Canis lupus familiaris: one gene and its partner. The protein of the gene in region 1 purifies or fractionates together with the protein of each later gene. This does not show direct contact. Links are inferred from orthologs where the notes say so. Each region holds a gene or a part of one and is shown in the gene's direction. Other genes may lie near its edges.

Evidence for each region.
Region 2: the proteins of IQGAP1 (region 1) and DIAPH1 purify together in Homo sapiens (affinity purification with western blotting; 3 studies listed by BioGRID and IntAct, with this or other methods). This does not show direct contact. The link is inferred for Canis lupus familiaris from reciprocal best matches to the Homo sapiens genes IQGAP1 and DIAPH1.

Annotation. Positions count from the first base shown.
Region 1 is NC_049224.1:54,169,438-54,174,727, reverse strand, and holds the end of IQGAP1 (ras GTPase-activating-like protein IQGAP1), read left to right. Parts: intron 1-1,404; coding exon 1,405-1,513; intron 1,514-3,324; coding exon 3,325-3,438; 3' UTR 3,439-4,221; downstream 4,222-5,290. UniProt on the Homo sapiens protein: Plays a crucial role in regulating the dynamics and assembly of the actin cytoskeleton.
Region 2 is NC_049223.1:35,640,778-35,646,067, reverse strand, and holds part of DIAPH1 (protein diaphanous homolog 1), read left to right. Parts: intron 1-1,275; coding exon 1,276-1,370; intron 1,371-1,690; coding exon 1,691-1,792; intron 1,793-2,017; coding exon 2,018-2,257; intron 2,258-2,401; coding exon 2,402-2,531; intron 2,532-3,274; coding exon 3,275-3,399; intron 3,400-4,025; coding exon 4,026-4,190; intron 4,191-4,332; coding exon 4,333-4,468; intron 4,469-5,290. UniProt on the Homo sapiens protein: Actin nucleation and elongation factor required for the assembly of F-actin structures, such as actin cables and stress fibers. Binds to the barbed end of the actin filament and slows down actin polymerization and depolymerization.

The DNA of each region.
Region 1 (5,290 bases):
GTGTAAATATCTCTTTGGGATCCTGTTTTTAGTTCTTTGGAATATATACCCTAAAGTGGGATTGCTGGATCATATGATAGTTTTCAAGTTTTTGAGGAACTGCCATACTGTTTTAAATAGCAGCTTAAAAAAGTTTAACTTGTATATATATCCCTGAAGTAGTACGCTGGTTGAGTGTGTGTGTATAAGTGTGTGTGTGTGAATCATGGCTTATTATCTGTATTTTCTCCAATCATTTTTGGGGTTTTTATGTAGAGCAGTTAATGCACTTTACGGGTCTCATATTTATTATCTCTTCCCTTCTTTTTGTCATTATTTTCTATTGTTTAAATGCCATCCTTTTTTTGGGGGGGGGGGGCTTCTTTTAATTTCTACTAGAGGCTTAGAAACCAGATAACAAAGCAAACTGATTCAAATAAAATCATCACAGAAAGTCTCTTTAAGGAATGACCTGTGAGGACCTCCTGTTGAGTAAGATGTGAATGTTCTAGTGTGTGGATTTTGTGACCTCTCTCATAGCTTCTCTGTGGCCTGTTTTATATCATTCATGGTTCTTGGCTCTGTTCTATAATTGAATTCTAGAAGTCTGGACCAACAGGCTTTGATCACTCAGGGAATAACATATCCCCACTGAAGTTTCTGGGCTTATAACATATTGAGAATGAGTAATACCTTAAATACTCTTGGTAAATAGCAATGTATCTTTGGTGGTACTTGGTACTGAGTGCATTTGTATCTATGGCACCCCCTCTCATGGCTTTTTGTTCTGACCCCTTTTTGTTTACTTACACACTTCTTACAATCCTCAAACATGCATTCATCCTTTCCTCCCTCTCCTTCCAGTCTAGTTTCCCCTTGATTATCCTTTTACCATTGGATTTAAGCAGTGGCCACGGGGAAAGCCAAGAGAATTCCTGTGACATCATCCTTTCAGAGGGTGGCATTCCTCCATGGTCCCTCTTCCCACAGCATGCAAGGGCTGCAGGGAGAGGTTCCCGGCTCTCCCCAAGTCTCCGAGCATGTGGTAGTTAGAGTAGTAGCCACACACTGTTCTACCTGTAGAAGTGTTTTGGGCCTTTATTTGGTACCCCTTTTCACTCTTGAAGAAAGATTGTTTTGTTCTTTTTAAGATTTTATATGTTTATTTGAGAAAGAGAGAGGGAGAGCGCAAGTGGGAGGAGGAGCAGAGGGAGAGGCAGGAGCAGACTCCCCGCTGAACAGGGAGCCCCACGTGGGGCTTAATCCCAGGACTCTAGGATCTTGACCTGAGCCAAAGGCAGATGCTTCACAAACTGAGCCACCCAGGCACCCCTTGAAGATTGTTAATATTCTTTCTACATTTCACAGAATATTTTTATATGAGAATGAAAAAAATCACACCCTTATGATGTTATGTTTCAACAGGTTTAAAAATGTTATCTTTGAAATCAGTCCAACAGAAGAAGTTGGAGACTTTGAAGTGAAAGCCAAGTTCATGGGTGTTCAAATGGAGACATTTATGTTGCATTATCAGGTGGGTATGCACCATACAGAACTGAAAACTTTATATGTGATGTGGTTGTGTTCTTTTTGGGGTGGACAGTAGGTAAAAAAGACACATGTTTGGATCACCCTGCATTGAGCCAGCGCCCACACAGGCGGGAAAGGAGCTGAGGGCTGCTGTGCATCTGACTTGGTCTGTACTCCCTGGAGAGCTTGGGCAGATCTGGACGTCTTCTGAAAGCTTTTATCTGAAGCTACTACTTAGTGTTGGCACTAAATTGAACTGGTACCTTGACGTTGAACAAAATGTTTAAGTAATGATAGTAGAAAATTGTAAACCTATTCAATAGCTTGAAATCTTTTCTCATTTTGATTTGATTTTGGGGACTTAAAAGTGTATTTCTGACAAGATGTGTATAAATTGCATCTTTGTAAACTGAATCCCATTTTAAATTCGGGAAGAACTCTGCAGTGAATCATTTATAACATAATTTAACCTATTTTTTATTCCAAAATATTTCTAGTCTTTACGCAGTAGAAAAGCACCAGGGTACCACAAGGCCTCCTGGGCTCTGTCCAGGCTCCACAGCTCCGTGTGTGTCCTCATCACTTCTGTCCCATTCCTTGTACTGCATCTCACTGCTGTGCTCTGTGGGCCTGGGCAGGGGCCATCTCTGAACGTGTGCTGGGCTTCTGCACCTGCTGCCCACCCCCCAGCCCTCTCATTTATTCCTGCACACATGCCTGCCAGACCGTGAGCTCCTTAAGGACCCACGGTAGTGTGTCTTCATTTCCTCCTTAGTGATGAGTAGACCTTCAAACATGTTAGCTGAACAAAAGTGAAGTGATTCTGTGATGCACATGCTCAGGTGCTTACACCCAAAAAAAAAGATCCTGTCACGTCTTTAGTCTCACCAGCGTTGCACAGGCCGACCAGCCTGCCTCGGTAGCATGTTGATCCGTGCACAGGCGCATTAAATATAGAATGAGGATCAGGTGCAGGTGTTCTGTCAGGCACAGGTGACACACCAGGGCCTTCGTTCTCATGGAGCTGCTAGAATTTTTCCAGAAGTTGCATTGTTTGAACTTTGGGTTCTTTCAAGTGCCTTGACTCATTCTGTCTCTTCTGAAGTTCATGTGCAAGACTACTCACTTCCTAAATGTGCTCTGGACAGTAGAGGGCAATGGGAGAAGCAGGGGCTCTAGATCCAGATCCAGATCCACTCCATGCCACTCTGAATATCTCTGAGCCTCATCTTTAAACTCGGGATAATCACACCTATAGGACTTTTATCAGGACTTAAAAAGACACTATCTGATGTGCCTACCCAATGTTGAGCACACTGGAGGCACCTAATAAACATTTTGTCCTTCTTCCCCTTGCCTTCAAAATATAGAAATTTTCTCACGTGAAATAAAAAGTAAGACTCTAGTGGATACTATTGAGATGACGTTAGTGGCTGTATCCTGTCTTCAGTGATTAGTATATTTTATCATAGATTGAAATGCCTCCCCCTTCCCCAGGTGACCCATCACTTAGACAAACTGGAGACACGTTATTGTCAGCTCTGAAATAGGAAGTATGTGTGATGAGTGAACATGCTGCTTTTTCTTTCCATGTTTTGTGTATTTTGATATACAGATGTACCAGAATATTCTGTTGAGCAGCATGTCCCATTCCTTGAGTCTCAGGGTGGTTGTGCAGTGGACCGTTCTGTGGTTGGGCACCTCTTTTTCACACCACTTCACATTTGTCATTCCTTGTTCCTTCTGGATCCCTCCCTACATCATGTCCTTTCTTATTCCACAGACTTGTTTGACTGTAAAATGTTGTTTTTATAGGACCTGCTGCAGCTACAGTATGAAGGAGTCGCAGTCATGAAATTATTTAATAGAGCTAAAGTAAATGTCAACCTTCTGATCTTCCTCCTCAACAAAAAGTTCTACGGGAAGTAATTGATCCATTGCCACCAGACCAGAAGGATGAAGGAAAGAAGCTCCTCACGGTGACCTTTCTTGGGTCCTTCTTTACTCATTGGAAGCAAAGACCCAGGCCACAAAAAAGCCTCAACTTGATACACTCCCAACGCCACGTTTTTAACCCTCCCACTCTGATGGGATGTCTATTGCCCTTTCTTCATAGTGAAACTGTATTTCAGGCTGTCCGACCCTCTTGTCCCCTCATTTTCTTCCGTCACTTAGGAAAGAGTGGAGGCTCCACTAAAATCTCTGTTGTTATGGTCTTAGAGGCTGCATTACTCTATTGTAAGCTTTGGTGTTTAAATTAGCAACAGGGATGGTGGGGCTTGAATTCTTGTTACTTGGAAGTAGGATCTATCAACACGAATAACACATGCACATAAGGCACACAACTCACAAGTCAGGTCATCTCCTGGCATTCAGTTGTCATTTGAAGGTGAAATTCCTTTACGTTTCCATCCCATCGGTCAAATGGAAGGATCCAGGGGCTCATTGGTTCTCTTCCACTGTTTTCCTTTATAAGCAGGAGCTAACAGAAGTCAGTGCTCTGTGTTCAAAGAAACATTTCTAGCAAAGGGGAGACACAGTTTTAAAATGTTACCATTAGGGCAGCCCCCGTGGCGCAGTGGTTTGGCGCCGCCTGCAGCCTGGGGTGTGATCCTGAGACTCAGGATCGAGTCCCACATCGGGCTCCCTGCATGGAGCCTGCTTCTCCCTCTGTCTGTATCTCTGCCTCTCTCTCTCTCTCTCTCTCTCTCTCTCTCTCTCTCTCTGTCATGAATAAATAAATAAAATCTTTAAAAAAAAAAAATAAAATAAAAAAAAATAAAATGTTACCATTAGGGCAGCCCGGGTGGCTTAGCAGTTTAGCGGCACCTTTGGCCCAGCGCAGGATCCTCGAGACCCGGGATTGAGTCCCACGTCGGGCTTCCTGCATGGGGCCTGCTTCTCCCTCTGCCTGTGTCTCTGCCTCTCTCTGTCTCTCATGAATAGATAAATAAAATCTTTTTAAAAAATAAAATAAAATGTTACCATTAAAAAATAAATAAAATAAAATGTCACCATTAAATTTGAGCAGTACTGTTGGTGTAGTTCTCTCATCAGCGGGAGGGAGAGTCCCATCAATAAACCCAGCTATGTAGGCAGGTTTGCAGTGGTCTGCGGTGCCTGCTTGTATGTATTGATGCACAGAAGGGGGCTATGTTCAGGAAGGCAGTCCACTCTGTCCCCGTGGCAAAAGGAGGGGCCAGCCCTAGCATACGTAAAATGATTGTCCTCAAATCTGTTTTATGTTGTAAGAGTGCCTTATTAAAGTGTACATTTATTTCTTGAAATGTGGGTGATAGGAATTTTGAAGATTTATATAATGCTTTAAAAGCCTTTAGAATACTGTAAGAAAAGGATTTTTAAAAATTGGCTTATCTGTATATCTGAACTCTTAAAACTTTCTTATAGCTAAAACACTAGGATTTATCTGCAGAGTTTAGGGAGACAGTCCTGCCTTATATAGACCAAAACAAAAAACCAACCAACCGAGGTTAGCTTGGTATCAGGGTCTCTTTTTCCCCACTTCTTTCTTTTGTTGCTGCCCAGGCCATGCCTTTATTTTATGAGCTCCCATTTTCTGGGTTTAGTCAGAAACAATTCAATTCTAAACATTGAATTTAGGAAGCGTATGTTATTACATTAAAAAGTCATATACTTAAAAAAAAAGAAAAAACTATCCAGGGAAATATGTTGGAAATCATGCTACTGAGGCTCCATTTTCTCTGATGTTTTGGTTCGGTATTTTTATCATAAAACAATAAAGCTTAAAATAATAAACTTA
Region 2 (5,290 bases), on another chromosome or scaffold:
CCAGACTTTTGTATTTTTAGAACGTTGTAGAGTGGTGGAAAGAAGTTGGTAATTAGAGAGGATTATCAGGTCAGGGTCTTTGGTTTTTTGTTTTTAAGATAGTAGAAACTTGATTATGTGTATATGCTGAAGGCCCTGGTCCTCAGGGCCACCTGTTCTATTGAAATAGAAGAAAAAGATGAGTACATGGGTATAGTTGCTGATAAGCTTACATAAATGTTGGCACAAGTTTTCTTCTGGATAATCCCAAATAGTCCTTACCCAAGCCTTTTCTGGCTTGGCTCTGGCTGAGAGCCCCCAGTGCATAAAAGAATGCTTAGGAAGTAATTTGACCAGTGGCTTCAAGTTTGTTTTTTTCTTCAGTGAAGAGGAACAAGATTTTTTTTTTTTTAATCGGAAGTGGTGGGACATGAGGATACTTTGGAGGAGCTTCCAGGAGGGCCTAGCACAGAACAGGGATGCACAGAAGGACTGCTAGGCAGCACTGAGCCCTCCACTATCATTGGTGCCACTCCACATTGATGAACCGTGATCTACAGAGTCTTTGCCAGCAGGGTTCATCAACTCAGGTGCAAGGAGAGAGGTGACATGGCTGGACTGACCAGGAACTGGAAGGAGAAGGAAACAAGAATGGGAATAGTAGTAATAGAAATGTCAGTAATGGCTGAGATGGGACGAAGCTGTAGACTGTAGGCTCTGGGTGAATAGAGAAAGCAAAGTAGAACTTTGGAGAAAATGGAACGATTGGCGCTCACACCAGAGAAAGCGAGTGCTGCTTTGGTGAGGTTGAGGGGCCGTTGGTAGAGGCTAGTGAGTGAGAGAGCTGGGAAACAGAAAGTGTTTGTTGGGGAACGAGAGATGGCAATTTAAGAACCAGAGCATTTGAAGGCAGTGGCAGCTTTGAGGATAGAGTCATGGGAGTGGGGAACTGAAAATAGAGTGGGATGAATATCTTGGATATGTCTAGATAGAGAAGATCAAAATCTTCCTGTGTAAGCGAAGGCCAGGAGCCACAGTGTTTGTAGAATGTGGTGCTTGGAGCAGTGTAGCTGGCGTGTGGGGTTTCATAAGAGAGGAAACTGGAGGGTGGGGATCTGAGACACCGGACTCCAGAACTTGGATTTTAACTACACAGGCAGTGGGGAGCTGGTGGAGGTTTCTAGAGTGACTTGAAATGAATACTCTTAGGCATATAGTCCAGCAGAGGTTTGTAGAATAGGCTGGAAGGGAGAGGAGAAAGAGAAGAATATGGCTTTGTGTCTCATTTTCCGGCAGCCATCTTTCTGGGTTCCTTTCGCATGGCCTATCAAGAGATTAAGAATGTCATCCTGGAGGTGAACGAGAGTGTTCTCACTGAGTCTATGATCCAGGTAAGGAGCAAGATTGTTCTGCAGGAGCTGGCTCTTGATGTCACAATACACAAGCCTCATCTGTTTAGAGGGTGAGGTCCTCTAGGACTGTAGCTTTACAGAATGCTGGCTTTGGGTAAGCGTCCATCTCTCCAGTGGTTGGGTTATTTCTGGTATTATTTTTCAAAAGTCCTGCCATCTTACTAGCTGCCTCTCAGCCAACCCCCCAGCCCCTACCCCATTTCCTTCTTTGTGGTCTTTGGGCAGAGTGGGAGACTGACAAGAGGCTCAAGCTGTCACATGACACAAAGGCATATGACACAGTCCCTTCTCTCTTTCAGAACCTCATTAAGCAAATGCCAGAGCCAGAGCAGTTAAAAATGCTTTCCGAACTGAAAGATGAATATGATGACCTAGCTGAGTCAGAGCAGTTTGGTGTGGTGGTGAGTAAGGCCTGTGGCAATAAGCTCTTCTCTGACTCTGTCGCCCGCTCCTTCTCCTGGAGCAGCCAGGGCACTTGTTCCTCCCCTCCTGTCTGTTTTGAACTTGTCTCTCTCTGCGCAGTACTCTGAACTCCCAGCCTCCCATACGAGACTCAAGCCTGTATGTTTCTCTTGATCTGCCCTCTCCCTGCTGGCTATCCTGGAACTGTTTGTCTTCCCCACCAGATGGGCACTGTGCCCCGCCTGCAGCCTCGCCTCAATGCCATCCTCTTCAAGCTACAGTTTAGTGAGCAAGTGGAGAATATTAAGCCAGAGATTGTTTCTGTGACTGCCGCATGTGAGGAATTACGTAAGAGTGAGAGCTTCTCTAGCCTTCTGGAGATCACCTTGCTCGTGGGAAACTATATGAATGCTGGCTCCAGAAATGCTGGTGCTTTTGGCTTCAACATCAGCTTCCTCTGTAAGGTGAGCCAGGTGGTTAGAGCAGAACAACAGAAGGGAAGGCAGCTGGCCTCTATGAGTACAGTGTGGCAAACTGCTATGGGCCTCAGGTCTTGGGCATGTCCAGACTAACAAGTTACTCCTCTTCTCCCCTCCACCCCGCCCCAGCTTCGAGACACCAAGTCCACAGATCAGAAGATGACATTGTTGCACTTCTTAGCTGAGTTGTGTGAGAATGACTATCCTGATGTCCTGAAGTTTCCAGATGAGCTTGCCCATGTGGAGAAAGCCAGCCGAGGTGGGGCAGGTTGGGGCGAAACTAGAAGGCTGTTCCAGGCCCCCAAAATCTCTGCATTAGGATGGAAATAAGACACAGTCTAGATCTTAGATAATTTTCAGTTCTGCCTATTTTAGGTGGGAATGGGAGAGGTGTAGGCCTGATGTCAAAGCCACAGAGGAGAGGATTATCAGGCAGAAGGGAGGTCTTCATGTATAGAACTGGAAAACACTTTTCCCTTCTGAGGGAAACACCAAACACTAAAAAAGAACTGTAAGAAAGGTAGGTGTTTTTAGTCTAGATCAGCAGTTCTTTTTATTCAGAAAGCATGGAATTTAAAAAAAAAAAAAAAAAAAAGCATGGACTAGATTAACAAAAATCAGGCCTTACCATCCTGATCGAGGCACACAAAAAACAGCATTTAGTAGAAACGGGAACAGATTTCTGCCCTTCTGTATTTCTCTGTATAGCTCCTTCCTCCCAAACTCTGCTCTCTAAAGGAGACCAAGATCACAGGTTCTTATTAAATTAAATGAAGCCTCTCTTCTTGTGGAGGCTGTAGGTTTCAGTCATCAAGTAATTTATGTATGATTTAACTGGAAAGATAAAAACTGCAATGTGTGAAACATCTAAAGGAGAGAACGCCAGAGCTAAAGTCATGAGGTACAGCTCTGTGTGTACTGACGCTGTGCCTGGAAGAGCAGATGCTGATCGTCTTGGAACTGGAAATAAACTCTTGCTTTCTGTTTTTGTGTTTCCTTTAGTCTCTGCTGAAAACTTGCAAAAGAACCTAGATCAGATGAAGAAACAAATTTCTGATGTGGAACGTGATGTTCAGAATTTCCCAGCTGCCACAGATGAGAGAGACAAGTTTGTTGAAAAAATGACTATATCCTTTCTTACAAGGAGGGAATTGCATCCTAGGCAGGGAAAGAAAGCTTCCTAGGGGGAGGACAGCAGGATAGTTCTGGTGATAGACAGTTTTTTTCCTTCTTTAAAAATATATTAAAAAAAAAAAAAAAACCTCTTTTCATTAAATATATAGTTCTTGAAAGCATTCTCACTGTTGTGGTCAGGACGTCATGCAGCTAGACTCAAATTCCTTGCTGATCCCTGACTCTCTGTCCCATCTCCACCATACACACACACACACACACACACACACACATTCTCTTCTCTTTCCCCTTTCAAAGGTAACCTCTGTGGCTGGGCTCCTGATTCTCAACTCATGAGTTTATTTTAAACAAAAACTGTGTTGGATTGCTTATTGCACATACTGTTTCTTAGCCCTGGCTCCACAGCAGGGTATGCAAAACCTCCTCTTCTGTAGGTGGACCATGGTTTATGGTTGACCATTCCCCTGTTTAGGGTATTTAGATTGCCTCTCGCTTTTGCTCTTACAAACACTGCTGTACTGCATATCTTCGGGTGTGGCAGTGTGCATCTCTGAGGGTTCCTCGGGGCTAGAGAAGTGGGTCTGCTTTCCAGCCCTGGGCCTTGACTTCCTGGCCGCACAGCTTTGTGAAGGACGCGCAGGAGCAGTATAACAAGCTGCGGATGATGCACTGCAACATGGAGACCCTCTATAAGGAGCTGGGAGAGTACTTCCTCTTTGACCCCAAGAAGGTGACTGTGGAAGAATTCTTCATGGATCTACACAACTTTAAGAATATGTTTATGGTGAGCCAGGGACTCCTGCCGATGGAATCTTTTGTGGACATTTCTCACTTTTCACGTTGGTTGGGTTCACAGGGTGGGTATTGGGTGCATGTATGTATAAGTGTATACACGCCCACGTGTTTTGTTGTGTTTCCCTCCACAGCAAGCAGTGAAGGAAAACCAGAAGCGGCGGGAGACAGAGGAAAAGATGCGGCGAGCGAAACTAGCCAAGGAGAAGGCAGAGAAGGAGCGGCTCGAGAAGCAACAGAAGAGAGAGCAACTCATAGACATGAATGCAGGTGAGAAGCAGACAAGGGCTAGGGCTTCTCTGCCTAGAATCTCGAGTCCAAAGACAACAGCTCATACCTGAGCTCAACTTCTGGCAAAAGATTGTGGGCAACCTTTTACCTCCAAGAGCCTGATGCTGCGCTTTGGCCTCACTCGGCTCCCCTGGATGCACATTCCAGTGCTCCGTGGTTGGCCCTTCTCCCTCTGCCAGCTCCTGTGTTATGTCTCATCTCCCCCAGTGGTTTTAGTATTACAGTAACATGTACTCTTCTGCCTGGCAAATATTCTTACAGCCTGTTTTTGTACCCTCTACTAAACCTTTCATTTTTTTCCCCCAAAATGTTTTCCTGGCCTTGCTCCTTTTACTGGTAGCTTGCCCTCTCTTTCTGCTTCTTTTCAGTAAGTACTGTGTGCTCGATATCTCAGCACAGTTGTACATGCTGTGTACACACAATTGCGTGTACCTATCAGATTATAAAGGGATTGAACTTCCGGAGAAGGGGGCATGGGAGCTGGCCACTCTCTTCTTTCTTCAGCAGAATGTTTCACTACCAGAAGCATGTCTTTGTTGAAACATATGGGCTCAATTACTGGCCTTCTGTTTCCTGTCTCTGCTGCCTTCCTGCTGCTGATGCCCTGCACCCCCTCTGTCTGTTCCTTCTGTGGGGAGCAGAAATATAGCATACATGGTACATGGCACTGAGCTGATGCCACCCTTCTTGAACCCGAGGGACTAAGAGCCATCTAAGTAAATGGGTTCTTAAGGCTGCCAAGTCTGGCGAGAATCAAAGTGCTTTGCTGAGCACAAGAGGCCAGAGCTGTTCTAGCACCTC